3 linked regions of the Oreochromis niloticus genome follow. Each later gene encodes a partner of the first gene's protein in a complex. Links are inferred from orthologs where the notes say so. Each region holds a gene or a part of one and is shown in the gene's direction. Other genes may lie near its edges. The genes, in order: mta1, cdk2ap1 and cdk2ap2.

Region 1 (10,828 bases):
GTATAAATAAATTTTTTTTTTTTGCAGACACATGTGCTGTACAGTCTCAACGGCTGTAATAAAGGCTGTAATAAATCCCAGTGAGGGCCCCTGTGCAGCAAGGGTGTGCTGTGGAGGCAGCTGGCAGACAGTTTTAGAGGTTTTGATCTTGCTATCGCTAAGTTCTGTGATCCTCCCTCTCACAGAGCTCCCTATCATTTCTAAGAGAATCACTCTAAGAGAGTCACACATGGGAAATGTACTGAAAATAAACAGACTGATGACATGAAGAGAATAATTAGCATAAATAACCTTCTTTTAAAAGTTTTACATGCATAGCTTTTCATCTGATGTATTCTTTATAAACTGGAAGTTTAATTTAGCCAAAATCTTATACCGGATGCTCTTCCTGATGCAATCTTCACCACTCCGGCATGAGAAGTACACCGGTTTGTGACCCTCTGTGGAGTTGCACTGCATCTTTGTGCATCTAGAAAAAGACTATGATAGGGCATGAAGTGAGGAACTGGAAGAGGGTCTGGAGAGGTGGAGGTATGTGCTGGAGAAAAGCGCAATGATCAGAGATTGAATACATGTATATGAATGAGAGGGAGGCCAGTGGAAAGGTAAACATGCAAGAAGCAGAGATAGTGAAGACAGATGGGTTTAAATACCTGCAGTCAACCTTTCAAAGCAAAGAACAGTAGACGAGAGAGGTGAAGAAGAGAGTGCGGGCTGGCAGAATGGGTGGAGACGGATGTCAGGGGTTATTTGTGACAGAAGGATATCAATAAGAGCGAAAGGGAAGGTTTGCGAGATGGTAGTGAGATCTGCTATGACTTGGAGAAGGTGGCACTGACAAAAAGACAGGAGGCCGAGCTGGAGGTGGCAGAGCTGAGGATGTTAAGATTTTCATGGGGTGTAATTGAATAGATAAAATCAGAAATAAGAAGGAAAACAAGAGGGACCTCTCAGGAGTGCTTTGGAGACAATGTTAGAGAGGCAAGGCTGAGATGGTTTGGACATTTGAGAGGAGAGATAGTGGATATAAACCAGATAAAAGATGCTAAATAAGGAGCTGTCAGGCAGGAAGAAAACAGGAGAACCACAGAGAAGATTCATGAATGTAGTCACTGAGAATATGCAAAGTGTTGGTGTGTCAGAAGAGGATGCTAGGGACAGGTTGAGATGGAGTAAGATGATCTGCTGTGTTGTTAAAGTGTAACAGTATAGTGATCAATAACCCTCTGATTAGTGGCATTACAGTGGTAACTGTGCTGTGTGAGCTTCATTCATTAAGCTTCAGTCAGCAGAGGAGTCATTCGTTACAGGCACAAACTGACAGTTGGACACCTGTTTCAATCATGTAATCTGCACTTATTGATAGAAACACCACAGCAATAGTTTGACATGGTGAGAACGTGTTTTTGTGCTTTCTTGCAGACTTTTGAATGAGAAAATCAATTGAGCCTGATGTTTGTACACTAAATATACAGCTACTGCCAGCAGATAATTAGCTGAGATTAGCATAAAGCCAGGAAGCAGGGGAAAATATAAAAACACAAAAAATGAACAAAAAACAAAACACACAGGCACATTTTGCACAGTCAAATACAGTGTGGTAGACATTATTATCGCTTTGATCTGAGCCATGCTTGCTGTTTTCACTTAGTTCAAGTCTATAGGTTAACATGGTCTGCTAAGCTAATCATCTGTTGACTCTAGCTTTACATAAAGATGCATAAAGTTTATTTTCTTGTTCTTCTCTGTGCAGAAAGTTCACTGCATGCACTTCCTGTTCTCAAACAACTATTTGGGCATGTTTTTAAAGACTAATATTTAGTTTCTTGGTCACGAAAACAATCATTGGGTTATTGTTTTTCCATGATAAGCTCTTTCGTGTTGTTGTGAACACACAAAAGGCAGAAATCTTTGAAATGGGTGAAATCTCCCAGAGCAGCCATCTATCCCTTCCTTTCTTTCATCTCCCAGTTTGCTCACAAACAAAACAGGCCTACCAAAGAGTCACTGTGACAAGATCTTGCCTGCTTAACCCTCCCCAGCCCATATTTACAACAAGAACTTCAGCACTTGAAAATGTTCTTTACCTCAGTATTTAACAAAGCCTGCCTGTTTCCTCCACATGAGCACAGACATTTCAGATGGAGTTCTCTTGCCAAGTCAAACTAACTGGTCACATCCAGTCAAAAAAAAGTTTTGTTCCACTCGATGTAAAGAGACCTTGCTGTGTACTTTTGTGGTGTATAATTAGACCCTCTCGACATGGGTGGTGCTGCAATGGAAAACAAAACATGATGTACCAGGTCCCACCCTGATTTTAGGTATTCCATGGAGCCTTAAGAGACATGCTTAGATATTTGTCTCACAAGGTGCAGTCAATGTACATAATTCATATATCTTGTGTTTAATGGATTTTCACATCAATCATCCTAGACATTATAAAGCCACATATATTATCTGCAAACTGCTAACCATAACTTAGCCAATTAGTACTGTTTATATACTAATATTTTATGTGAGGTAAATTGAATGTTACAATGAAACATCCCAGACACATGAATAAATAGTTAACAAGTATTTTACCCAGCAGCAAAGCTGTTTCTTCAATATGACTGCCTTGACCTGCTAAGTGTATTATCACTTTAGGCACCTAGGTTTGTCCATGGCCAGCGTCAGCATCCTGGACAGGCCCCTCTGGCTCAGGCTCATCCAAAAAGCTACTATCACCCCTCAGCTGAATTCCAACACGATTTAAAAATAAGACCTATGATTTGGTAATAAAAATGTTAAAACACTCACATTACACTGTAATAACAATCATGTTAATTTTTCAGTTAATAGTAACATACTGTAACATGTCTGCACAAACTCTTTCCAACTAAAAACGGCTATCATTAGTTTATAAGGCTGTCTTTAATGCATGAAAGTGCAATCTCACTTGAAACTTGCAAAATATATTCGCTATGAACATACTGGACATTTATGGTTATTATAAATGCATATTGGTTCATGATGTCATTTTAGACAGGTTGTTTAATCTTGAATTTGTCATGTAGGATGCTAAGGTAGTATCACTGCCCATTATGTCCGTCTACTCTGGCACTGACCATGGCTTTATTATTATGTGCCCGTGGTTTTTCCTGTCATTTGTTTGATGATTTATGTGATATATATACATATATATATATGCATCTCAAGTTGCTGAGCAAGTGCTTGCCATTCCAGTCACTCATTTTTCTTCTTCTGTCTAACTGTTGTGGGTTTTTCCCCACATGGCACAGTCACCAAATGCCAGAGCCTCTCTGAAGATTGAGACATTTTTAGCAGTTCAACCAGCTGTTTCTCACAGAAAAAAAGGAAAAAGCAGTTGCACTTGTCTGGCAGCTTCTGGCATTTTGGCAAATGGTCCTGTGGTTAAGGGTGTACACTCAGTGACGGGATTGTCTTGCAAGGTGGGGTTCAGAATATGCAAGGGGATAACTTTTGGAGTGCCACATATTTCCATGTGTGAGACAGTCTCACAGTAACACCCTATTCGTAAGGGTCAGTATCAATAACCCACAACTGCAATATTCTTAATCCCTCTGGATTAGGGCAAAGCATTCTTGGGAGGCTGAGTGTTTCATTCAAAGCTGTGTGACAGATGACAGACTGAGTTATGTCTTCCGATAGAAACACCCACACTCAGAAAAGGCACAATAGCTAATATTGATTTAATGGCAACATTTGATAATATTATACTTCTGATCTACAGCTCTGTGTTGCAGCTTTAGATGCAAATAGCTGGCATCAACTCAAAAATCACAACTCACTTAAGTGTCGTTTTCGCCGTTAGCGATGGCCACATCGCGGTTCTTTTTTCTTCCCACAGCATGACTGCTTTTCAGGGAGCAAATGGGGACAATAGAAATAGCTGTGCGCATGATGTCCCCTGCTGGCAGACTATGTTTAGTGCAACTTGGAGCATTTTTTTTTCAGTGAGTATTGGAAAGATCAGGCATTGTTAATGAATGGTTTCAGAGCTCAATTTTATGTTTAGTATGAGCTAAAGATAATGGATAACATTATGTCTGAGTGTGCATGGTTTTAAGGCAGGCAAGCCTTTGTCTTAAGTGGTCATTTTTATAAAAAGCTAGACAATAGCTCCCCCTAATGGTGACTGAAAATAAATACAAACTCCTATTTTAAGTGTTTTCTTTTACTCGCAATAAGTCAGTGCTGTCTCCTCCCACAGCTCTCAGAGGACTGAGAACATGGCTTCATAGACTAAAAAATTAAAAAAAATGAATATTGTCTTTAATATCAACAGCAGTGGTGGTGAATGTGTTTTAGATGGATGTACAGAGCAGTCTCCATACAAGAATCTAGGCATCTATGATATTGTACAGTAGCTCACTGCATTATTATCGGTAATATTTATCCTGCTTTATATACTTATACATGTGTCTTATAGCTATAGCATGACTCACAGCAGAAGGTCACTGGCACTAACCTTCTGAGAAGGGAATATATTCAAGCATCCTCTAGAGAGCAGAGTTACAGACTGTTCCAAAGTATAGGTAATTCACTTTTAATAAGGAATACACCCATACAAAGTCAGGTGTGGAAGAGCGAGAGCCCTAACATTATTCCCTTTATTCCTGCACCACCCATAGTGTCTCTTGATCCAAGTATAGGTTCCAGAAAGAGAATTAAAAATATTTCAAATAGTTTCTGCAAGGATAGAGGTCTAATTGATTTCCTCTGTGTCTTTGACTCTCCCGTGATTCATCTGCTGCATGGAGGAGCAGAGGAAAGAAAGAGGATGAGGGAGGAAGAGAAGTAGGAAGAGAGAAAGAGAGGCCATCAGAGGTCTTCTTCCAAAGCGAAAGGAGGTTCTGCAGACGCTCTGCGTCCCGAGCCAATCCATCTCCACAGACTGAGATTCATCAGGATGAACACCTGCACTGCACTGCTCTGTACAGAGCTCTGCCTGCATGCTTGTCTTCCCGAATGCAGCAACATCTGGCAGAGGAGCAAGTGTATTAAAAAAAAGAACATCTGCACAGCATCAAGCAGCCAAGTAAACAAACAGCCCTAATGAAAGTGGTAACAGTTCCCAAATACAAGGGTGCATTGTCAACCACCTATTTTCCTTTAATTAAGAGCATATTAAGCACTGGCAATGTTTTCTTTTGAGCCTATTGGGGAAAATTACAACAGCTCAAAAGACTTCTCACGTGTGTCTCCATATGCTTAACAAATAACACATAATGTACAGGGATATGCTGGATTATGCTTTACACTTGAAATATTCCACAAGATAGCAATATAATATGCACAAAAATAAGCATTTATGCAGAAATGCACTGTTTGTTGCACACAGCAGTGCATACTTAAAAATAAATGTACAGTATAGTGATGGTCTTTCATCAGTGAGCATGCAACTATACTACAAATCAAAATACTGTGCAGTGTACCATGCACTGGCATTGAAAAACATCGCAAATTCAATGTAATTAAATTTGAATGACATAGTGTAGACGTAAATCCTTGTACACACCCATACATAAACACACACATGCACAAAAAACACACAAAGTGCACACTCCTTGTCTCTCGTTCCTTTTCATAAAAGAGCCCCGGGACATAATACAGAATCCCTCCAATGCAGCACAGTTCCTACTGCACACTTGAGTAGGAGTGCATACTATAAGCACACATGATTGGCCTATAACAGTCATGTGACTGCAGACTGTGGTCCCCTGTGTTAGGTCACAGTATTTGACGCTTCCATATGGTATAGATCAGACGTAGCCTTCACCACGCATTCCTCTGTCACAGAGGCCTTATGCTATCCACAAAAAAGTGAGCCAATCAAACAAATATCTGGTCATTCAGGATCACGCCTTGTAGATACCTTTCCATTAAAGACTGGTTGCCATGTAAAAAAAAAGCTATGCTCATGTGAGTTTTTTTAAGCATTCTGTGGTTTGATTGGCAATTTATTGTGCCATGTCCAAGGTGATATGGTACTATATGGTTTGTTTGTGGTAAGATTGAAAGAATAATATAAACACACTCACACACACACTACTGATAAGAACAGAAACACTGCTGCTAGTCCATGTTGCAGAACCAACATCCTATTTTAATGGCAGATTATTATCTTGTTCTCTTACCCACATGCACATAGAGTTGTACTGTGGACTAACCATGTCATTGTAATAAGCTTAATAATCCTAAATCTCCATAGTATTTCCAGAATCCAGAATATATCTCATATTATCATACCATAATTCATTGCATGTTTCTGCCTTCACTGCGTGCTGTGGTTATAATGTAGTCCTATACAGTGAGACAAAAATGAGCTATGCTATCTTATAAATAAACCACCATTGTAGTATACGATCCTAACTTTAATACACCTTATCAGATTGGAAGAATTTGCATATGTCTTCCTTTCTTTTGTTAATAAAATTAGGTATTTAAGGACAAATGTGTCTGACCCTGTGTCTTTCTAATGTACATGAATTAAATTTAACATACTTTGTTATTTTTACATTTAAGCCCATGTATCCCTCCCCTGCTGGTCCACTGACCTCTGACCCTCACTGACACTGTGAGCATTGAGGGATTTAGGATCACAGCACTGGTTTATTTTTAGGGCTGATGCATTTTTACACAGCTATACAGTTCCAGGTAAATGGCTTATTTTAAAACCAGCTCTGGAACCTGTCCACATTTCATGAGTCATCCAATGTGGGAGTTTATACAGTCCGAAGTAGGCCTGGTAGGCCCTGGAAGTTTTTTTTACATCGAGCTCTTACTTAAAGACTTGCTTTCCACCGTAAATTATCGCGATACGTGTCGATTAGTTGATTGGAGAGCTGTATAATTATCATAAATAAATAAAAACTTTAAGCTAGTATCCAAGTTTCATGTCTTAACAATAAAGACAGGTCTATTTTCAAGAAATTTACCCTTTCGTTTATAATCTAAATTGGCAAGTAAAAGATAAATGAACTACTTATGTAAGGTTAACCGAGTAGCAAAGTTAATAGGATAACGGTTCCTTTCGGACAGCGCGTGCTTGGTTGCTAATAGTGACGTAGGTACAGTTTAAAAAGGCAAATATTTATTTATTTATTTTTTAAATTTTATATTAAGTTAAAGAAAGTTGTTTAATTAAATCGTTAATTTGTTACAGTGCTTATTCCCATTTACCAGCGCCAAAGTTGTGGGTTAAAAGAAAAAAGGCGTACTGTCTCTTTAAGGCAGCCAGCCAGTCTCTTTCGTATTGATCAATCCACCATTTTCCAACACAGAGCGGCGGCAGTGCTAACACAGCTCCGGCAGCGCGAGAGAGAAGAGAGCCACCCCTCTACCTGGAGAGGAAGCCAGGGACCGGGGGCAGTCATGGCAGCGAACATGTACCGGGTTGGAGGTAAGGTGGAGGGGGCAGTATTTTAAGACCTTCCCGTAATTTTTTATGGCGGACTCGCCATGATTAACGTCGGTTCTTTTATGTATTTACAGCGCGTGGTCCGTCTTTTGCTTCCCTTCTTTTATTTCCCTAAAGCTAAAGAGCCTTGTGCTTCACAGATGATGATGATGGTGACTGTGAAGAGGAGGATGGTGATGAAGAGTAGTGGTTCTCTTTACAAAACTGCTCCCCGGATTTCCTCGCTTCTTTTTGCGTTTTTCTTCCAACTTAGCAAACAAGTACTTTAGTGCAACGATGCACTCTGAGTAACATGCATTGCGCTTCTATATATTTTGATGTAAAGTAGCGGATATATTCTAAAAGTTTTGCGTGCCATTCAGCTACAGCCCGGACTGTACGCTCACAGCCATAAGTAACATCGTAAGTGCTTTAAGTGTCCTGCAGAAACCTCTCAATGCTCACAAGACAGCAGCAAGGAGTGCATGCTCTTAAAATGCAGGGAAGGAGTGGGACAAAAAGTTAAAGACAACACTTTACATGCAGGAACCACTAAAATTCTCAAAGCATGCGTAGAGATCCGTTTTACACATTTATAACCAGTGTCTCTTCGCTTCTTTTGTGCAGGCAATTCAACTTAATACCTAATTAAAATTCCTGATTTCCCCTCCCACTCATTTTTTCCCTGCATATGTTCCCCTGATTTACATCCCGTAGGTACTGTGTGAAAATGAAAACACGAAAACCACTATAGCTGCACTGTATTTTAAATAGAATGTGCTGTTTTTTGAGGGGGTTTGCAGTGGAGATGCATAAAAGAATGGAGACCTTTTTAGATGTGTCTTCAAAAAACTTCAAATTTAGCTGTCAAAAAGTGTCACCACACAGAGGTTTGATATGAGGGCTGTAATGCAGATGGCAGTCGTAAGCATTTGCAGGACAGTTTCTTTATTCTTTCTTTATTCATCCACTTTTAGTGTCTTTTTGGACTCTGTGGCCATTTGTCAGTAGAAAAGGGAGGGAAAGCAAACTGATTATATTTTTAAGATTATTAAGAACTGATGTCTTTTGAAATATGACTGATGTGATTGCAGTTGGCTTGGAGCATGCATCAAAAATAGCCTATGCTTAAGTTAATGGCATTGTTATTTAGTCAAATGAAACAAAGCCTACCTGAGTGAGAGCTGGATTATGTTGGAGCAGGGTAAAAAGTTAACACTTTACCAGCCAGATGTTACTTAGTTTTGTATTTCTGTTTACGCTGTCAGTCTCTTACACTGACATACCAACCAGTTAAGCATGTATGTCTTGTTTGTAGCACACTAATTTGCAGTAAAAAAGGTTGTTTTATTTATTTCATATCTACCTTGCAGCTTTAAGGTTGTGTAGTTTGACTAATTTGTGAGATCTAATCAATCAGAATGGATTAAACATTTAATGCTCAGTCATCAAAGCAAAGTTGATTACTTTTTTGGAAAAGTGAAAAAGTAACAAGTAAGCTCAACCTTCATAATTTAATTTAAAACTACAAAACATAATTTAATAAGCATAGTCTTAATTTGTCCTACAATCACAGTTCTAGTTTAAAAAAATAAAATCACAGTTCTAGTTTGGCCTAAAAATAGGCCTCATAATTGACTGAAGCTTCTCCAGGCCAACACCAGAACAAAGCAGAAGCCCACACAAAGATGGCTGCTTCTTTGCAAGACAATGCAGGATCATCTTGGAAAAGCAATGAGTCCCCTTGAATGAGCAGTGGACAAAAGACAAAAGGTCTTGATGTCTTTGTTTTCACCATCCAGGCCACAAGCCACTCTTCCGGTGCCTGCAGCACTTCTTCCTAGTGCTTTCCCTCATGTGCAGGAAAGTGTTGGTGACTAAGTGTAGGCTATACGATAACTTTTAACCATTTCAGCGGTTGGAAGACGTTTTTATGAATGCAGTGAAATTTTAAAAAGCCTCTAAGACTTGCTGACGACTTGTTTTCCCCAAGTGAAAACAATTCTTTCCTGAGATGTTCTAAATTTGGTTGTCAAGACGTATAGAAAGTTTACTACAATTTTTGCTAGTGGGTACTCAGACCTACCATTGAAAAAGAGGACAGGCTTTTAAAACTGTGGAGCTTTGATTTTGTAGTTAATATTACAGGAAGTTGCTGGTTGGTGTTAAGCCAGGTTCAGTTTTTGGCCAGGTGATCCCCTGTTTGTTTCCTTTAAAATGAATTTCTACAACAGGCTTCTGAATGTGGACCTACTGTGATAGAGATGTTCCAAAATATAGTAAAAGATGCCCTGTTTGTATTTTCTCAAACTGTGTTGCTCTGGTCAAAATATATTTCTACCTAGAATGAGGATTGTGGGTTTTATTCCCCCATCACCTGCATCGGAACTGCAGTATGAGGCCATATCCGAGGATGTTATGATCACGAGGAATGATTACAGGATGCAAACACTTCTTCGGTTGTCATATGGGTAGGGGTGTTATTTAAAGAAATAATTGGAAAATACAGGATCCATCCTTTAAATAAGAACTTGCATTGGAATGTTTGGATTGTGACAGCTCTTGCACAGAGTTTGCAAAATGTGTTGCATTGTTTACTAACTTAAAAAGTGAGAAACTTGGGTGTTAATGCCCACATTTCCTTTGGATGGTGAGGATTTTCTACAGTAATTATTCAGAATGTGCCTGAAGGTGTTGCACTGTTTACTAATCTACAAACTGACTAAATTACAAACTTTGACAGTGCCCACACTTTGTTTGGCTCATGGCTGGTGTTAATCTCCCACGCTGGCAGTTGTGTCTCTTGCAGGGTCTGGTGGGTGTACTCGCTGAGTGGCGAGCTGAGGCTTCTTTGCTTCAATCCTGCCAAGTTCAGGACAACTAGTTGGACAGATGCATGACAACCTTTTTACATCCATTCAGCAAAGTATCCCCATCATTGTGTTTCTGAGGGGGGTCAAACTGCCCGAATGCCCATCACAATAACCGCTGTTTGCTAGCTTCCTAGTGTTGCCTATGGGCTTAAAGGTCTGGTTGTCTAAACTTCACTAGAATGAATGTTTGAGAAAAGAGTGGAAAAATTTGCTGATTTATCGCGTTTGTTAAGTGCAAGCTGCAGTGCCTGCTGCAGTATGATTGCAAGGTGTCATGGGAGTTGTGATCTAATTATTATAAGATCAAATCCATCTCAGCCTTAACACCACTGCTGACTTTATGCGAAACTGCTTTTTAAACATTTTTTATTCCTCGGTGTATTATAATATGTCAGAAAAGTGAGCGGGACGGGATATGAAAGACATATTTTTGTCTATTTCCTGCTTTTGCCAGGAATCCTAGCAGATACTAGCAGGCCAGGTAGATTGTATAGACTGTACAGAGGTGTATGCATCTGTGCATACAGCTGAT
Region 2 (9,929 bases), on another chromosome or scaffold:
TCACACGCATATTGGTATGTGCACTTCAGATTTGCATGGTGCTTACTTTGCTTACTGTATTCTAATCCCACATTTGTTGATGCTACTTCTCAGAGCACCAAATGCAGATTAATTTGGCAGTGAAAATGGTACCAGTATTTAGAACAACACTTTTCTTCTTTTGTCATGAAGACAACGTAATGAGAGGACATCAGCAGCTTCAACCTTTGATGCTTCCATTGCTCTGTGGTCCTCTTTTTGTAAACCTATTTGTGTTTTTCTGTTGTCAGGCGCGGTAACTGCAAGAAGGCGTCAGTGGGTCTGCAGTGTGAAGTTGGTCTTCGGTGCAGGAGGTACTACGTTTTGTGTGGATCAGTGCTCAGTGTTTGGAATGAGCTGGAAGAAGTGCTCACCCCGGTCAGTGGAACCAATGTAAAGGTGCAGATTGTCCGGCTGAGAACCGAAGATGGGCAGAGGATAGTCGGTAAGTTAAGTGACTGCTGTACTAAAGAAGTTCATATTTTGGAAACTAGTCTCATTTTTTGGTAGAGTTGGCATCGCAGCGAAACTCCTGGTTTTATGTTTTGTGCCTTATTATTTAACAGACAGACATGTGACATGGTATTCTAACACTTAAGAGTTCCTTTTTAATTGCGGTCCTCTCAGATGTGTAGACACCCAGCTTATTCTCAGACCTTTTTTAAAATTTCTGTGTTGTTTTTAATGCAGGACTGATCATTCCGGCGAACTGTGTGTCTCCGTTAATTAACAAGCTCTCAACATCGGACCAGTGTCAGCAGCTGGCTGTGCAGGAGCAGCAGAAGCGGCAGCAGCTTCACCCTCAGAGTCTGAGCCACACACACCACACATAGTTTAGGGGCTTTAATCCCCATCTCTACCCCTTAAGTTCACATCCCTCCCTGAAGGGATCTCTCTACACTGCAGGCTCCAGGACCTTGTGCACAACCCTCACTGTTCCTGAGGGTCAGAGGTGTGGTACCAAGCTGTGGTGACACTCGGATGTAAAGCAGTGGTTGTATAGAGAAATGTTCTTTTTCTTACTCCCCCCCCCCCCAAAAAAAAAAATTGTAATCTCCAGAGACTCTTCCTTTCACCTGGAGATATTTGACAGGTGATGTATTTTCCTCTGACATTCAGAGTGAGAAGATTTGTGACTTTAAGAGAGCATGTTGATCTGAGTTATCCACTCCTCACTGATACTTTACCCTGTTTTACCCCAGAACCACCTCAGTATGAAACAGAGACTTTTTGTGGGTCTGGACCAAAAGTAGATGAAGCAAAATCTACGTTTTTTTCATAGTCAGAGGAAAGTCTCAGATGGGCATATAGTGCTTAACTACAATCACATATTAATGTATGCTAGAGACTCATTATATTAGATATTACCCAGCACTACTGCAGCGTAAGAATTTTTGTTTTTTTCTGAAGTAGAAAAAGTGATGCAGTTTACTGCAGGAAACCTTTTGCTTTTGGGGGGGCACTGTATCTGGCATATTTGCTCATGAGACGGTGAAGACCAAATATTCTTATTGTCAGGTTCCACTTCCTTCTAAAATCAGGCCAATTTCTGTTTTTGCTCATCTGTTTTTCACACAGGTCTCAGATTCCTCAAAGTTCCTTGGTTTGTTTTAATGTCTAACTTGAACATTTTGTTCCTTTTTGTCCATGTTGGAACTTGATCAGCCAGTTGTTTGTGAACGTGCCTTTGCGTGAGTACTTGGAGCTACAGCAGTTGGGCACCTTTACAAAGAAATGATTTGGTTATTTTTGCATCAGCTATCCTCTGACTTCTATCCATATATATATGGGGTGTTAAAATGTTAGAGATGATGAATATTAAGCGAACTGGGTATAATAAATACAATTTAGTCTTTATTAAAGTATTGAAACATTTAATAAATGGTTTATGGCCTTTATTGTAGCTACAAACATATGGTGTTAAGAGTTTATCTCCTCATGTGAGGGCATTTAACATTACTATACAGTGTTTCCCTTTACTATCAGAGGCTTTAAGGGGCAGGTGGTGAGAAAAATGCAGAGACCATAAATTACTGCATAGTGCAGTATAGACTCACACTGCACTGAAATGAAACAAAGCACATAAATTAGGCAACTGTAATGATTGTTTCAGTGTCATCATTTGTTCAGACGTGGCAGCATTTGAATGCTCACAAGAAGAAATATTGTAGACAAAAGTGCTAAATAATTAAAGCTACATTACAGTGCTGTGAATCAGTTGTTGAATGTTTACTTGATGCTTAAAAAATTTTTGGCAATAGAAAAATTTAGGTCACAGTTTGGGGTCGGGGAAAACTATTTAATATTGTACTCCTTTCCAATCCATTACAGCAGTTTTATTTCTTGACGTGGTCTTTAGCTGGCTGCTATTAAAACAGAGAAAATGGCAAAAAAATGGTTAGTTTTTAAAAAAGATAAAGGGTTCCTGAAAAATTGTGAAATGCATGTTGTTGACAACAGCCTTTTTCGTGTGTGCGTATGTTCAAGGTTTCACAGCAGTCTGCATCACTGTGTCCTTCTCAGTGTTTTTTTTTTTTTTTTTCTTTTGTTACTTTGATTTTTGATTTATTTTTTTTTTTTGTAAATATAAATCTGCTCAGGGGTTAAACTCATATGAAGACCCAAAACACAAGAGTTTTACAGTGTATCGCAAATGCATGATTAGAACTCAGTGGTCCTTGGACATCTTTGCTCAGTACAGTTGCTCTGTGTGTGTTTAGCTGTATTTACAGCTCGTATGTGTCAAACATCCAAACATGGTTCTCCAGTTTCTCTGCTTTCTTGAGCTTACTTGTAATTAAGGTCTGTTTGTTGTACAGTCCACTTTTTCTGTTGAGCCTGTACCACCTCAGTCATATGTTGCGTGATGCTCGACCTGCCCTGGAAGGGTCAGACCAAAGTCTGGATACGTGAGCTGTCCCAGTGGTGATAATTAAACGGAGGATGTGTTTGAATCCTAAACCTGTGGAGTGGTTACTGTTAGGTGGAACAAGAACAAATCTTTGTATCATTTGTACAGTTTGTAAAATGAGTCAAACTGAAATTGTTCATGCATCCTTTTTTTATTTTATTTTATTTTTTTTTTATGGTGGAGGGAGAACTTATTCATTAGAGCTTGCTCTCTAATTGGAAGTCTCATTTTAACTTGAATGTGCACCATGTACAGACCAACAACTCATGTTATTTTATCTTTTGGGCTGGTGGCTGACTTGGAAACTTTTTTTTTTTGTCTGTTAGTTTTTTTTTGTTTTTTTTTTAAATGCTGTCAAAATGTCATGGCAGATTTGGCTCATCTGAAGTTGAAACACTTGAAGGACTTAATTTTTTTTTTCCTTTCATTATCGCACGAGTTGCACTACTGACAAGAGTTGTACAAAAGTTCAAAATTACCTGTATATGACTGAGTGCAATGCTCAATAAAGCTTGGTATACTTCTACATTGTTGTGTGTTATAATACTAAAAAGCTACTTCATTACATTGCATATCTGGAGAATTCTATAGACTACAGTTACAGATGATTGGACTTGAATTCTTCCAGAAACATCAGTTAATCGTTTATCAAATAACAACAGCAACTAACAATTTGAGATGACAAGTGTGGTATGTTTGTTTTTTGTTTTTAATGCAGGCACTTTGTATTTTATTATTAAAGGCAGTAATGCCACTCTTAAAAGTACTCCTATAAAAAGTAAAAATACTGCATGTGAGAATGCTGCGAGGTGCTTACTCACTTTATTTATTCATTTATTTTGATGCTCAAAGTACAGCTCTGTGTAGTTCATAAGTGCAGAAAAAAAAGCATTATGCATGCATATTAAAAGTGTGAGGTGTATATGAGCATTTATAGCTCTATTACTTTAGGTGTTGCTAATAAACTGGCAACTAAGTATATAATGCCATTACATATAATTCCCATACACATAAGTTAATACAAAGTGCATTAAACAAAAGCATGGTGAAATACTCCCAGAAAGGCCGTTAAGATTTTTTTATGGAGCGATTCTCCAGCTCCTTAAAATGTCAGACTATTTAAGTTTTCTAAAATAATAATAATAAAAAAAATCTATAAAAACTGCTGTCTTCTAAACCTCAAGCTTTATATGGTTGTTTTATTGATAATTTATTGATATTGATAATGAGCTCCCACTGCTTGCATTGCGCCAAGATTGCAATTACCAAAATTAGAAACATTTATTTTGAAATGATTTAACACTAAACAGTGCATTTTTCACCCTGTTACGTGCGCCTTCTTTTGGGGGGGGGGGCACAGAGCGGGCAGGGGTCCGGGTCATGACCCTGAGAGCCACGATTGGACCACACTTTTGCCTTTGTGTGGCCAACCATGTGGCCAAAAGTACTGATGGGACATGAAGAACTGAAATGACTCCTGAGCACATTTTTGAAAAACTGAAGATAAAGTCTCCGAAATAAGAGCGCCTGCTTCCAACTCCAGTTACTTTTCTTTTTAGGTAAAAGCAGACGGCTATCAGTAGTAATGGATACGACCCCTCAGACAAAGACAGGTACGCTGGTGTTCTTTCATACTTTATCTTAACCAAAAAAAAAAAAAAAAAAAAATCTATTAAAAAATTTGGGTGAGTATAAAGTTTAACCTCAAATACATGTATCCACGTCTGGTTGCCTATTCTACTTTAAAAGTCTGGTTTCTCCTTCATAATGTTGTGTAAAAAATTTAAGTTTAAAACATCTAAACACATATCACGTTTAAACACTTTTTGTTAAAAAAGTCTTTTAAAAGTGTCGTTAAAGTAAACTCAGGGATAAAGGTTGGCAAATGTGCTTAAAATGCGTGTTAAAGCGTGCGCGAATTTGGTCGCTTTGTGGTGAAATGTGCTTCTTTTAACCGTTTTCTTGATAATCCGCAGTGGATAGTAGCAATGTTAAAAAGCACAGTGGGTGTCAATATAAAGTGACGGCCATATTTGCCGGTGCCGCTGTTGTAAACAAAAAGTGAGAGACAGACGCTTCACTGAATTTCGGGTCATTTTTATTTCTTTAATTTACAATGTCTTTGGGAATGTCTTACAAACCCAATGTCCATCAGCACATTCCGGGAACTTCTGGGAACCAGGGTAAGGAAAAAACGGCGGAGAAAATCAAAGTATCCGTCTGTTAAATCGAGTGTTAAATTCGGGGTCTCGGAGAATACCTGGAGAAAGACCGTGTCTGTAGTTTTTGTCCAGTTATATATATAGGGTCAGATCCTGGGAGCTAGGCTAATTCATATCCGCCATTATTACTAATGTAAAAGAGCGCCATCCGCGATACAAGTCGGCGAAGAAACACGGTGGGGATGTGAAAGGAGTCGGCGGCGGTTCCTACAGTGTCGATATCCGTCGTCCGGGGTCGCGGTCCCGCCGGGTGGGTGCCGTTACACGGTGACAAAAATGTATCACTTATGTCTTCTTGAGCCAGCCTTGTTCCGTTTCCTCCATGATGCTCCTCGGTCGGAGCTGCCGATTGATCTGCCTCGAATTTTTTTTATGTCTCTTCGAGGACATCTCGTGTTGGAGGTTGAATATTACAGGCGAACAAAGCGACAGGGGAGCGGTGATTATGGAGGTGCATGTGCGTGGATGGAAGTGTTCAGATCCCCAGTTTCTTTATGTTACCAGCCAAAACATAAAAAATACAAAAAATCAATCTGCTCAAAGTAAAGGTATCTGTTATATAGAGAAATGTATGGAAGTAGTGGGAAGAGTTAAGAATTAAAAGAAAGAAGAAGAAGGGAAAAAAACAATAGGAATTGTCGTTCCAAGTCAAGCTAACGGTGGTGTACAGATTGTAGGTATTTGGTAAAATTGTAATTCAAAAATTCTATTAGTAACAAGGGAAATAATTTCTATTTTTAGCACATGAATAAAGTGCAAAAAATGATTTTTTTTCCCTGACTGACATTCTCTTATGAGATTGTTAATATTGATGTTTCAGTGCTTTTGCAACATTTTACCCATTTTACTTCTACTTGCTTTACTTTAGTCCAGAGGTAATGGGTCCAGACAATGACAGATATATCTAAAGGTCAATCCTTTGTTTAAACTTAAATTTCATCTCCATTTTCATAAGACTATGGCATACCAAAGATGATATCACCTATGTCCAGCATAACAATTTTTAAGTAGTTTTTATAGCTTCATAAGCTGCTGATTAGCTTTATCTTTAATAGTACTGACTAAGTTTTTAGTAGGTTTATATTAATCTACTGTACTGTAGTCTTAAACCACCTATCATTTCTTTATATTTTGCTAGGAAAATGGGAAATGGATGTAGAGATTTATTGAATCATGTGCAAACATACACGGGAATACAGTATATAATGCAAAAAGAGAGTTTATATAATTCCAACAATCTCGAAAGTCGAAGCTTTGTTCTTCAACACAGCCTTAACTCTCATAGGAGCTAGGAACATAGGAACACTGCTTCAGAGTAAGGGGGGGTCAGACTGACTGTGTTCCAGTAAATGTTTTTGTATCCAGGTATGCTCTACTCCAGTGGCAGTGTGTTTGGGAACATTATCATGGTGAAAAATGAAACGTTTGCATAGTGGATCAAAATCTGACGGTACTTTTCTCCGTTCACAGTCCATTAATTTTGACAAGAGCCCCAACATCACTGGCTAAAATGCAGCCCCAAACCATGACAGAGCTTTCATCCTGTTTTATAGATGGCTGTAGCGCTCTCCTGACCTTCTCGGTACACAAACTAAAAATTTGAACTCCCTGTTGCTGGTGATTTTCAGCCCAGTTCTTGTGTAACTTGGCATACTTGAGCTTTTCCCCCCAGTTTCCCTTCCTTAAGAACAGCTTCTTGACAGCTACGCTTCAGCTGAGCCTGTTTCTGATGAGGCTTTGGTGAATAGTAGGTGGATCACCTGAAGGGCCAGATGCATCTCTCCTGTGACAGATTTTTTTTTTTTTTCCTTTTTCTTAAACACATGACATTCAGATAAGATAACCCAGGCCTAAAGATAGCTCTTTAGGCCTTTGCTCCACTTTTGTCCTCTAAGTTCTCCATATTGGTGTAAATATACTCTATTATACCTGACAAACTGTGTTATTGTTGGCATTTTTCATAGTCATCAAAGATGTTTACTTCTGCAGCAGGCTGCTGGTAAAAAAGTGCCTCAAGACAGAATTTAAATTGGTTCTTTGCTAAGTTCTCTGTCATGTAGTAACAAAACTCCTTGATAATTTAAGTTTTGTGCCTTTTTTCGCTGCTTGAGTGATTCATAGATCAGTGTTAGGTGGCTTCACAAAGAAAAAGAACATTCCTTTGAAGGTGATAAGGTACAACGACTGGACTGAACTTTAAACAACCTTCAAAGAGAAGTATTGTTCAAGATGACTTTCAAAAATGATAAAGTCTGTCTTCTTGGAAGAAAAGTATAAAGGAATTAGAAATTACTGCTAGAAAGAGAAATGACTGCAATGAAAAGCAAAGTTCACTGGCATACTCATCTCTTTTCTTCATGTCTGAGGTCACTGAATGGGTGGTTTGATAAAAGGTTTTGAGTGTGATGACAGTAACAAGCACTGCTGCTGTTGAAACTAGAAAATCACTTCACCCCCGCCTGGGCTCACTTTCTTGCGGCGTTGTACTTTTAATGTTTTCTGTGTGTGTGTGTGTTAGAGAGGAGATACTACACCTGTGAGAAGAATAAATGCTGCTTGTGGTGAATGCTGTAGCATATTTCATTCCCACACATGTTCCTAAAAACATTTTACAGTGTATGCATCTTTTCTTTAACTGTAATGTGAAACATACGCACTGTCAAGCCCTGCACCATCAGCATCACCTCCCTGCTGTTTCCCACAACACAAACACTGAAGAGCCTAACATGCTTCCTTTGTGAAACTGCTGACTATAAGAAAAAAAACGGCTTTACTGCTCTGATAATACAATTTCCATAAACAAAAAATCTCTTTAATGGCAAACAGTTTCTATTTGTAGTGCCTTTTAACCTTACAGGTTCTCTAAAGTGCTTTAAAAGTTGAGCAGTTGGCTGAGGTTTCTCAGCTGTGAAAGTTTTCTATTTTTTTGAATATATTTGATTTGTGTGTCTATTTTGATTTTGACAGGAGTTGTTTTTGAATTGTCCACAGTTGCAAACCTTCAGTCTCCCTCAGCAGCTAGCCTGGCCACACTGCAGTCCTACAGGCCCCTTCTGAGTGACTACGGACCTCCTTCTCTGGGATTTTCACAGGTAACTACTAATCTCACTGTATACCCCAGCTCGTAAAGGCAAAACAAAACAAACATACTTTTCCAGTTTTTCCATTTCCTTCATTGCCATGGAAGATACAAGAGTGTTGTTTGTTGAGTTTTATTTGTGCAAAACTGGAGAACATTGGCCTAATTACTTCATATTCATATCAACTTTACAGTCCAGGTTTCAACATAAGTCATATTTTTATATTAAAATTGCATTTACAGTCTGTCAAACCACCCATATGATGAAAAGCAGTGTTTTTACCTGTTTCCATCCAGTGGTGGTCTTTTACACAGCAGCAGCACAACTGAATCAAGAAGTGGTGATTTCTTGGGGATTTTAAGCAGGGCTGCTTATATGGACTCTTATAGTGACATGAAATACCTCTCTGTGTCTGATGTAGTGTTGGGACATGAAGGTCAATTTTAGACACTACTCTCCACCCCAGACTCCACAGGTCCTAATTTTTGGTCAGAAGTTAAAGCACAAGTATTAAACTGTACTGTGAGGCTCCATTTTGCATACCAGAAACCAGTTTAAATGTATTGAACCTGACTGATTTTTGCTTTAACTTCAGGGCTCTACTGGCAGCCAAGTGCCTCAGAACAAATATGCAGAGCTGCTGGCCATCATCGAAGAGCTCGGAAAGGAGATCAGACCCACATACGCTGGAAGTAAGAGTGCAATGGAGCGACTGAAAAGAGGTAACCTTTATATGCAGAGCAATACAAAAGCAGCAGGCAAGCATTAACATTTCTCAGACTAAATTTGTATTTGTTCTTCTTCAAAGGAATAATCCATGCCAGGGGGCTGGTGCGTGAATGCTTGGCTGAGACTGAGAGGAATGCAAGGTCCTAGCTAAAAACGCCCATTCCTCCCTGCAAGAACTACCTTTCATGAGGAGAAAAAATAACTTGCATGGCGTTTCCTTTGCAAGGAGGAAGTAAATGAACAAAGGATGGAACAGCAAGCTCCTTGAGGGAGAGAAAAAAAAAGAAATACAGTAATGCAATTTGTGACTCCTGAGAGCTCTGGAGGATAATTTCAATCATGTGTGGGTTATTGGAACTAAAATGAGAGATATCATGTGTTTTTTTTTGTTTTGTTTGTTTGTTTGTTTTTGTTTTTTTGTTTGTTTGTTTTTTTTATGCCCCATTTTTGGGATCATAGTTTTGACTTCATATTTAAAGCATTGGTTTATGCATGCAAATGGGCTCATAGGTTAATTGTAGACACTGCATGGAGTATACAGGTGTAGATGGGGAGGACTTCTTCTTTGAATTTTTTTTAAACTTTGTTTTTTTTGGTAGTGGTTGGTCTGTTTTTCAGACGCCTGTAACACCTAGCTAAGTAAGGGAGGGACAGAGACATGCCAAATGCATCGGTTGATTCGTTTTTGAGGTTGGTTTTGGTATTAAAGGGAGGGGGAAAAAGGAAAATGCTGTTAACTTGCATCTTTGTATGTATTTATTACTCAGTGTAATAAATTGTATTTTCAATATAGTTGTCAACATGATTTATTGTACTCTGGGTTTAATAAGTGCATTACATTTTCCCATGTACACATGGTTTAAGAGACTACTGGTATATTGTACTAGTTATAGCTAAATTATAGAGGCCAGTGATGATCTATCAATTAATTAAATTTGACCTACTAATAAATCAGCATCTACCTATAAT
Region 3 (9,697 bases), on another chromosome or scaffold:
TTAAAATAATGTTAAAGTTGTGTATTATTCTTAAGTTAATGTGATAATGTTAAATTCTGGTATAATTATTAGGTTGTCTTAGTTAGGTTTTAGTCTGGTTTACGTTCTTCTATGTCTCTTTGTCTATGTAGGTTTCAAAGTGTGAAAAACAAGCTGGAAGTGGCTCAGTGGACCATTAAAAAATAAATAAATAAAACTTGAAAAATTAAGAAGTTTAGAAACGATAGTAAGGATCTATGAAAGTGAAATTCATAGCAATCAAGTCCAAACTTTGAACCATAAAATGTTTTAGGTAAATTGGTGATAGTCGGGTATGAGGCCCACATTGATTTGAGATGGACTGACCCTTCCTTCATTCTGTACTTACCGTCTGGCTTTCTGTTACCTTATTCTGCTATTTTTATTTAATAATAACTTTTAAGAAATAATTCATTTTTGTTATAGTACAAGCTGGTGCTTGTTGTGAAGGTACACCAGGAACACTGAAATTTGAAATACTATAGTTCTGAGACATACTATTTTTAATAGAAATAGACCTGTGCCTAAGGGCTGGACAAATACCGATTTTTAATTAATGTAAGAAAAGTTTGATGAAATGTCTCCTGGCAATATACTAGATAGCAAAACTTGAAAAACTTTGATCTGAACTACTATTGGGAAAAACAAGAATGAAATGAAATAGAATAGAATAGAATAGAATAGAATAGAATAGAATAGAATAGAATAGAATAGGATACGATAGAATAGCCCTTTATTGTCATTGTACATCAACAATGACGTTATGGGTGCTCCGTGCCAACTGCGCAGGAGTAAAAAAATATATATATACGGTATATATTAATACTAAAGACATCAGGAATAAATAGCAATCAGAAGAGACGAATACAGTCTGGAGGAATATATACAAAACAATAGAAAGGCACACAATGGAGACCAAAGTGCTTGGAGGTAGTGCAAAGAAAAGCCTTGATCTGAATAGAGTCTGTATGTGAGTGGCCTGAGTGATGAGGGTTACTCAGACCTTGGTGTCTAAAGCAAATATGTGATCTATAACCTTAGAAAGCATGAAAAAAAACAGATGCGTCATAAAGAAAAAGAATTATAAACGTCATATTACAATTGAAATGTACATGAGAGACAACACAACAGTGAGAATGTTTTTTCATAGTAACTGTCTTTGCTGATAGCCAAGAAAGGACCATCTTAAATAATATATTAAATAAATAATTATTAAACACAGAAATCGTGAGTCCTGATGAGGCCTATAAATCTAACACAATTAGTTTAACAAAGATTTAAATTAAAATTTAGTTTTTATTTCCACAGTTCCACTTCACAGAGGAAGTCTCATTAAAATGCATGAAATAGCAAGTTAAAGACCCACCGTATAAGACAGAACTCTACAGATCATTGGTGGCCAATCAATATTTCCTGGGACTGTTGTGGAGGGCAACTCCGATAAGCTTACAAAGAGATAAATTTAATAGCGAGCTGAATTAACTTCAGCTTATTGGTGCAGCCCTTCACAACAGTTCGACGTTCACATGTGGCCACTTGGGAAAATGTATTGCCCGCCCTAGGATTAGATGATCCCCTCTAAGCAGTAGAAAGGCGGCGATATTAAGGAGGAAGAACCCTCATTAGACAGGAAGAGACTTCTGTCACAGGCATCAATCCAAAGTGACCAATGGGAACAAATAAATATGATAAATATGACTGACATTGTTGTCATCAAACTGCCCAAACTTCTGCTTTGACAGAGCTGGTCATACTTGTTGATGATCAATTAATCAAGTGAATTTGATTATCGGCACCTAGCTGCTACTTATGCACTTACTTCCTATGGAAAGAAGTAAATGTGTACTTAGTTTTTAACAGGACTGGATAAAGTATTTTAGACACTTTCTTTTTCATATTCCTGTATATGTAGCCTTAAGAGTTTGCACCCAGATATACTGCAATCTAGACAGCATTTTTTTATTGGTGTTGCGTGTTTCAGCAAAACACCTATGATTTGAAAAATATGTCACAGAGGCGCTGCTCAGAAGCTGAACAGTACTGCGTATCAAGCAAGAATGGAAAAACAATTCTCTTTCTTTTCAAAATAACAGTAATTGATCCTTTCAGTTCTGAAAGGGTTACAGCGTTGTTAAAAAAAAGATGAGATGCAGCGCAATGCAACACAATGCTCCCAGCCTTCTGGAAAGGTGTTGGTGCCATTAAATTAAAAAATCTTTTTCAAAAAGCAAGAAAATACAAGGTTTCAACATTTGCAATGTTGTCTTGGTACTTTGTGTTTTCGGATACATTCAAAATGTTACTAATTAGCAAATAATTATTTTGTGTTTTCTTTTTACAATTTACACAGTGTGCAAATTTTTGTAAGGATACTAAAGTAATGTCTGTCATTACATGCAGACAGTAAAGCCTTGCTGCAAATTAGCAAAAATCATTTTCACACTGCAAATAAGTGCATTGTCAAAACAGCAATTAAGATGATAGGTGAGTTATTTGGAGCAGGTTAAAGTGATCTCTTTTCCATCCATAATTACATCTCCCACCTGTGCCAAAATGTAATGATACAGAAGTGCAAATGGGTTTTTTTGTGATATGATATGATATGATATGCCTTTATTAGTCCCACAAGGGGAAATTTCATAAGCCTGCCGACCTATTGCACGCAATGGCGGCACCATCTTACCCTCCGACCATACATACATTACACAAACATCACATGGGGAAGACAGGTCAGAGAGGTATAACAATGGAAAATGCACCACATGAGGAAAGATAAGGAGAAAAAAATAACTCCCCCCAGACTGAGCTCCAACAGGGAGATCAGTTTGAGAACAGAAAAAAAACACCTCTGCACATAGCACATGAAAAAAACTCTTAATACACCAAAGAAACACATGACAAGCAACAGGGGTGGGTAAAGGGTGAGAGACAGCCAGTGTAGACAGTACATCCGGGCCTGCAGCCTATGCGCTGGTCTCCTTGATCCACCGTCAGCATCGGAAGGGAATAAGCGTCGAAGGCGTTTGGAGGGGGGATGAGTGTATGTCTGCATGTGTATATATGTCTGTGTGTGTGTGTGTGTATGTCCAGAGTTCAGCTGAGACAGTGTCCTTCGCCCTGCCAGGCTAAGTAAACAGTCTTCCAGCCAACCCAGGTGGCCTTGCATAGAAAGGGAAGAACAGTCAAAACACAGTCGTTATCAGGGTGTTGTTGTTCAGCTCCAGCCTTGCAACCGCAGCTGGCGCCGAAGGGGTATCTGTATGAGTGATGGTGCTTTTTACTTTAGTGCGAACAGCTCATATGAATTTCCAAGCAGTTCTACAGTCCAACACTGGTCTCTCAATCTCCCGTTGGAGAGCCGCGAGCTTCGCCATACTTGCGCTCTGTGATGTTGTCATTCTTGTGCCCAAAGAGCCGATTCTGAGAACTCACGACAGTGTGCCTCCCCGAGATGTCATCCAATTTACGCTCAGAGATGTTGTGCCGAGCGAGCCCTTCCGAGATGTAATCCAGTCTGCACTCAGAGATCTTATTCTGAGTATTCACGGCAGCCGTAAGCCTTTCTAAGATCTTATCCATGCTGCACTCAATGAGCCCATTTTGAGAAACTCACGCCTCTTCCCATCGTTTCAATCCCAGCGGGCGGCCTTGCTGTTTGAACAGCCGGTTCCGCTTCCTTAGTTCTCCGGTAAGTCAGGGACAAGCCAGCTCCAATCAGCCAGAACCCTGTTACCATGGTTCCGAATAGGTAGATATCTGCCGAGATGGTTCCGAATAGGTAGCTATCTTCAGCACTCAGGCTCACCCAAGCCCAAACTTCTCGTTGAGAAAGGGGTGTCAATTGCATTCAGAGACCAGTTGATCAAATCCATAATTCTCTTTTAGGTTTTAGAGAACAGACTATGAGAGAGTGTTCTAGGGAAAAGTAATACAAAAAACACGAGACTAGACAAGGACACAAGAGGCTAAGCAGGGAAGCTAAGGGAGAGGAGGAGGAGGAGAGGAGAAAAGTGCGACCGCCTTCGTCAAGAGCAAGAGCACTGTGCTGCAGTGTTTGGTTCCAGTACTTCAGAGGGTCAAAATGTTACAGCAGGGGCATGATGACAGTGCATCTCCACAAAATCATAGTTGTCTGTTCACTCTTTTGTAGCAGATGAGGCCAAATCTGTATGCTAAACTCAAATAGTTCCACCACCTCAGGTAATGTAAATTAAATAAATAACCTGATGAATTATTATACCTCTTTTAAGGTCCTTGTAGTTTACCTTAGTATTCTGACTTCATGCTCCAACTCCCATATTTCAGAGGGAATATTTGTATCTTTTTTTTTATTCCACTGAGTTTATCTGAGAACTATTACAGCATATTAGGACTTAACATCATCAACATCAAAACTTAACATCATACAGTTATCATAAGCTCAGCTCAGTTTATTTAAACTCGAATGTTGGTACTTTACTACAGGAAAACATGCTGAAGCACTTCAAAAATGACATCTTTTGTGATCCTATTCTTCTTCTTTGGCTGCTCCCCTTAAGGGGTCACTGCTGCGGCTCAACTGGCTCCATCTCACCCTGTCCCTTGCATTCTTCTCTGTCACATCAACCCTCTGATCGTTCCCTTTTTCTCCTTCAACATCCTTTGTCCAGTATATCCTTTATTCCTGCTCTGCACATGTCCAGACCTTCTCAGCCTTGATTATCTATCTATCTGAAATATGATGCCCTGGCATGAATTGTATTTTGTAATTGTAAGAAAAACATTAGCTATGTATTAATCTATCAATGGGAACAAAATTGTATCATGAGTAAAGCATTCAATCAAGTTAAGCAATTATATATTCAAATATAAAATATGGGAGTGAAAATAGAAAAACGAAGGTACATCAAGGAGTAAAATGTTCCCATTTCATATTAACTATTCAGCAATGTTTCAAAGTCTAAAAGTTCTTCCAGACTTTTTAATTATTATGTAAATGGGAAAGAATTTCTCTCCTAAATATCGTAATGTATTTATATATAACTATATCTTCCATTTGTTTCAGCGTTCGTATTTTCATTTTCGCTACGTATGACGCGGGTTTGGCGCGGTAGTAGTTTCTGGTGATGAAAACATTTAGGACATATGTCACATGTAAACCGACCAATCAAATCGCTGTAAAGATTAAAAAAACCAACAGCCCACTACCTCGTCTGCGCAGACTCAGTCACTGAGGAAGAGTCGGAGCTCGCGTCCCACAGAGGATTTCACGTCTCCTTAAAAAGGTACAAAATTGCCACTTTTTTGTATCGTTTCGGGTGTCATCGGTGGTCACAAGTTTAGTTTAACGCTATTAATATTCACTGTCTGTATTAGAATGTAAACGGCAGGCCTGTTTGGTTGGGGTTTACTTATGTTTTTGTGGTAACCGGCAAAAGCTAGCTAATCCGGCTAACCAAGTAGTAGTTAGCTTGGCAGCTTTATGTAAATGCTAACGTCAGCTTTTGTTTCATTGAGCACCTCTGAGCTCCGCTCGTGCGACTTTGAGTGACCACATTCACACACACCCAGCCTATGAAAAGCTTCATTAGAGTCGGCGTAAAACACAAAACAAGTACATTTCACAGGTTGACACATTCAGTGTAGTCTGATATTAAGCTATGGTTCTCTCCAGTCAGAGTACCATTGACAGATTAGGGAACTTGTATTGTAATTACGATGTTTTTGCTGCAAATTGTTAAATTAGAGTCCAGCGGACTCTTAGATGACCTGAGAGGGCCCATGTGGTTATCACGAGCATGGGTATGTTTTTAATGGCACTTGTTGTTTTCTGACTGAATAGGAAGATTTAATGTACTTTCCCATACAGTGCAAGCACAGAATATAAAATGTCCGCAGTGAGGACCTTGGTTTCCTGTCGGTTTTCTCATCTCTCTGCTGCAAAAGCAACCTGAATGAGAAACGTTTCCACTGACAGGTCATACATTTTGTTGTGTAATGTGTGACCTAAGGCAAACGTGCTCCAGTTTTACATTAAAAATGTTTGCGTTGCTCCCAAACACATCCAGGCCGACAAGTCTTGCTACTGCTGTTAAATAAAGGTCTATTGTGCTGATTTCCTCACCGACTGTTGTTGATGGTGATTCCTGATTATTGTGATTCACAACTTCCTTTGCTTCCTTCTATTCATGGATTGAATTGCATTTGTGTTTCTGTCTATCTTTATGCATTAGCTCTTAGGAGCTCATCATCACCTGTAAAGCTGTATAAGTATCGGGTTGACGGGACCGAAGGAAGCGGCACGTCGTACGGGGAGCTGCCTGCTGAAATCGCCATGAGTTACAAACCCATTGCTCCTGCACCATCTGGCTCCAACCACACTCCACCAGGTACTTTAGGACCAGCTTTAATGTTGTGCAGTGCCGTTATTAGCATGTTGTCAGTTTCTTGTGGTGTGTATGTATGAAACAGTTCACACTGTGACTATGGTCAACAGTCCCATTGCCTTCATAAACCAGTGCTGCCCCACACAATATTTTATCAGTCATTAACAATACAGCACAATTGTATTGGTAAACTATTTTTTAATATTTTACATTTGAAACAAAATTGCTTGTGTTTTAGGTTCAGCCTTTAATGTGTTCTCTCTCTTCTCTTCTCTTCCTCTGGCCAGGGTCTTCTGTGCCCTCTCCATCTCTTCCATCGTCGTCCAACTTCAGGCCAGCCTTCAGTGACTTTGGCCCGCCCTCCATGGGCTTTGTTCAGGTACAACAACAATTTAATTGCTCTGATACTTGAATACAGACTGCTTTAGTAAAGAGTTGTCATATTTTTACTGAAGCATAGGTCACCAAACATGGATTTTCAACCACTCTGCTTATGTCAATACTAGCCCTTAACTGAGTAAATAAACTAAAAAAAAAACTTGTGTATTCACATACTTTTCACACTCATGTCCCAGCCTGGGGTTGATTAAATTCACCTCTTTGCTATTGCTGAATTATTTCTAAAAGGTGTGATAAAAGGTCATTTTCCTTTATTTGAAGCTGCACAGAAGTTTGTTTTTGTTCCCATACATCCAGCAAAAAGAGAAGCATTAGGAGTTAAACAGTTAAGTTTAAGTAAGTTAAGTTAAAGCGTTACAACAACATACAAGAAGATACTATAGAAATGTCTATCAGTAAAGTCACTATAAGGTCGTAGAAAAAAATGTGCCTTTCTGCACTAGTTATTAGTGCTATATTGATTAAGTACAGTAAATATTGTTGGCAGTGGAAGGTGGTTACTGTTTGACTGAAGCATGTTTCATTAGCATAAATTGAAACCACTGAAAGGAACTTGATTTCAAAAGAGTTCTGAGAGGACATGGGGACATTTACATTATTGTTAGATGAGGCAGTGAATACTTAAACACTACAATACTACATCATTGCAGTGTTATAATTACTTCATCATCGTTACATCTGCTGTAAAAAACAAACTGACATATTTTTCATCTCATTCTTAAAAAGAAAAAAAATCTACATTTTTCATTCATGTCTGGCGTGTATGTGGAACTGTGAAATGACTAACGTTTTTTACTACTTTCCCAAACAGCCTGTGAAAGTGTCCCAAGGGTCCACCTACAGTGAGCTCCTGTCTGTCATTGAGGAGATGAGCCGTGAGATCAGGCCCACATACGCAGGGAGCAAGAGCGCTATGGAGAGGCTAAAGAGAGGTATGTTTTAGTAGTCAAAAGTGCATATCAGTAGGATTCAGATCATTGTTGTTGTTGTTGTTGCGTTTTTTTGGGGGGGGGAAAGTTTTTTTTTAATGCATCTATTATGCAAATCAGAGGAAGACTGGTGAACTTTTCACTTTTCTTAGCTCTTTGGTGCATGTGGATTTCACACAGCTTATTCTGAAAATGGTTATTTACTTGCTGCAGTAACAGTGCTCTGTTATTATCCTTTTATATAAAAAAATTGTCTCCGACTCCAGCTGAAGACTTAAAGCCCAATATCCACATTTATAAGAAAGTTGCCAGGTAAAGCCCCCCATGAAAGCTGGAATAACTAATCACAGTCAGTTATCCATTAAGACACATTTCTCAAAGTGTGGGGCACAGTGAAGAATTTAGTGAAACTGAGTTGCATACATGCATTTAAAAGACAAGGTTTGTCACATGACTGTGCAGTCCTGTGAAAATATAAGTAGACTCTATGATTTGGTAGCTTGTGTACATTTAGCAGCAATAACTAAAAATAAGTTCTCATTTTCTGTATGACTGAGTTTCATATCTTTGGAGTAATGATCCCACTTTTCTTTACAAAGCTGCTTCAGTTCGTTGAAGTTTGCAGGGATTTGTTCTGTACCTCCACCACTCTGTTTGATAGTTCGAGACAGATGTTTGTGCTGATATGCTGTGTTTGATTTGTGCGGTGCTGTGCATTACCCAGAATATCTCTTGTGTGTCCAGAAGGCGTCATTCCAGAAGTCTTGTGTATCCACAGTATTTATACCTCCTTTGGTGTTATTGTAGAACAGGATCAGTTGTGCTTTTTTTCCCTTCTCTGGTATTTTCATCCACCATTTTGTTGTGTCCAGATTTGTGCATCACAAACCAAGGAGATCTTTAGGCCATACTCGACGGGCTTGTTTGGATTGTATCGTAGAAATCTGAACCTTCCCCTGAATGGCACAAGCGTTCGTCTACAGTGACACAGTCACTGGGGATAGATTGTTGTCTGAACACTGTGTGTTAGTTCTTGCTGTGTAAAATAATCTTCCTAAGTGGTAGCACTCTTTGTGGTCAACAAAAAATATATTCCTGACAGTCACACTTTGTAAGAATCAAGGGAAATTCCATAGGAAACAAATGCAGGAAGTTTGGGGTAAAAACACAAAAACTAGAATTTTATTAAATGTACAAAAGGAAAGTTAAAAATTTAAATGGCATGGTAGCCAAAAAGTGTTTTTGAGAAATAGCTGGAATATGAAATGACGACAACATTTCATTAATTGGGTAGGTAAGAAAACAACATTAGCAGGTCATTTTTGACCTACTTTTATGAGCTTAATCAACTCAGTTTTCTTGGTTAATGAGAGACCTCTGATTTGGCAGTAATGACTGTTGGGGTTGTTGTATTTGAGGTAGTCTTTTTTTTTTTTTTTTTTTTTCCTTTATAAAAAAACAAAACAAAACTTGCCTTGTGTTTGTGTCATACAGGTATAATCCATGCCCGTGCACTGGTCAGGGAGTGTCTTGCAGAGACGGAGAGAAGCGCCCGCACATAACCTTTTGGACAAATCCCTCCACCTGGCACTGGCACTCTTTTTCCTGCGACACCTGCCCACATCGTGATCCCCATTGGATGTTTTATAACCTTTTTTTTTTTTATATATATATATATAAATTAAATCCTTCCTCTTTTCACTGGCTTTTTAGAGGTGCATTATGTCCCTTTGTATCCATTCACAGCATTTCACCACGCCCATTTTGGTAAAGACAAACTTTCTGCAACTCGTTGGGCGTACGCAAGCAAACAGAAAATTTTCTATCTATTTTAAAAATGTGGGGAATTTCAGCACATTTTTAGGTCAAGCTGGGGATATCAAAGTGGATGGGAATGTTTATATTTGTTCAACAATGGGATTTGACCAAGAAAGTTGACTTTTTTTAAATGATTTCCCCACTGCACCAGTGCTCCTGTGTCGATTT

Evidence for each region.
Region 2: mta1 (region 1) and cdk2ap1 share a complex: the UniProt entries of both Homo sapiens proteins name them as parts of the nucleosome remodeling and deacetylase (NuRD) repressor complex. The link is inferred for Oreochromis niloticus from reciprocal best matches to the Homo sapiens genes MTA1 and CDK2AP1.
Region 3: mta1 (region 1) and cdk2ap2 share a complex: the UniProt entries of both Homo sapiens proteins name them as parts of the nucleosome remodeling and deacetylase (NuRD) repressor complex. The link is inferred for Oreochromis niloticus from reciprocal best matches to the Homo sapiens genes MTA1 and CDK2AP2.

Annotation. Positions count from the first base shown.
Region 1 is NC_031983.2:19,121,870-19,132,697, reverse strand, and holds the start of mta1 (metastasis-associated protein MTA1), read left to right. Parts: upstream 1-6,662; 5' UTR 6,663-6,681; intron 6,682-7,307; 5' UTR 7,308-7,398; coding exon 7,399-7,426; intron 7,427-10,828. UniProt on the Homo sapiens protein: Transcriptional coregulator which can act as both a transcriptional corepressor and coactivator. Acts as a component of the histone deacetylase NuRD complex which participates in the remodeling of chromatin.
Region 2 is NC_031972.2:11,489,005-11,498,933, forward strand, and holds cdk2ap1 (cyclin-dependent kinase 2-associated protein 1), read left to right. Parts: upstream 1-4,917; 5' UTR 4,918-5,045; coding exon 5,046-5,112; intron 5,113-8,118; coding exon 8,119-8,243; intron 8,244-8,826; coding exon 8,827-8,953; intron 8,954-9,039; coding exon 9,040-9,107; 3' UTR 9,108-9,752; downstream 9,753-9,929. Other genes in the region: sbno1 (protein strawberry notch homolog 1), read left to right, coding at 1-14, 270-463, 709-851. UniProt on the Homo sapiens protein: Inhibitor of cyclin-dependent kinase CDK2. Also acts as a component of the histone deacetylase NuRD complex which participates in the remodeling of chromatin.
Region 3 is NC_031971.2:21,307,748-21,317,444, reverse strand, and holds the start of cdk2ap2 (cyclin-dependent kinase 2-associated protein 2), read left to right. Parts: upstream 1-5,134; 5' UTR 5,135-5,282; intron 5,283-6,230; 5' UTR 6,231-6,331; coding exon 6,332-6,386; intron 6,387-6,670; coding exon 6,671-6,762; intron 6,763-7,593; coding exon 7,594-7,714; intron 7,715-9,205; coding exon 9,206-9,273; 3' UTR 9,274-9,697. UniProt on the Homo sapiens protein: Acts as a component of the histone deacetylase NuRD complex which participates in the remodeling of chromatin.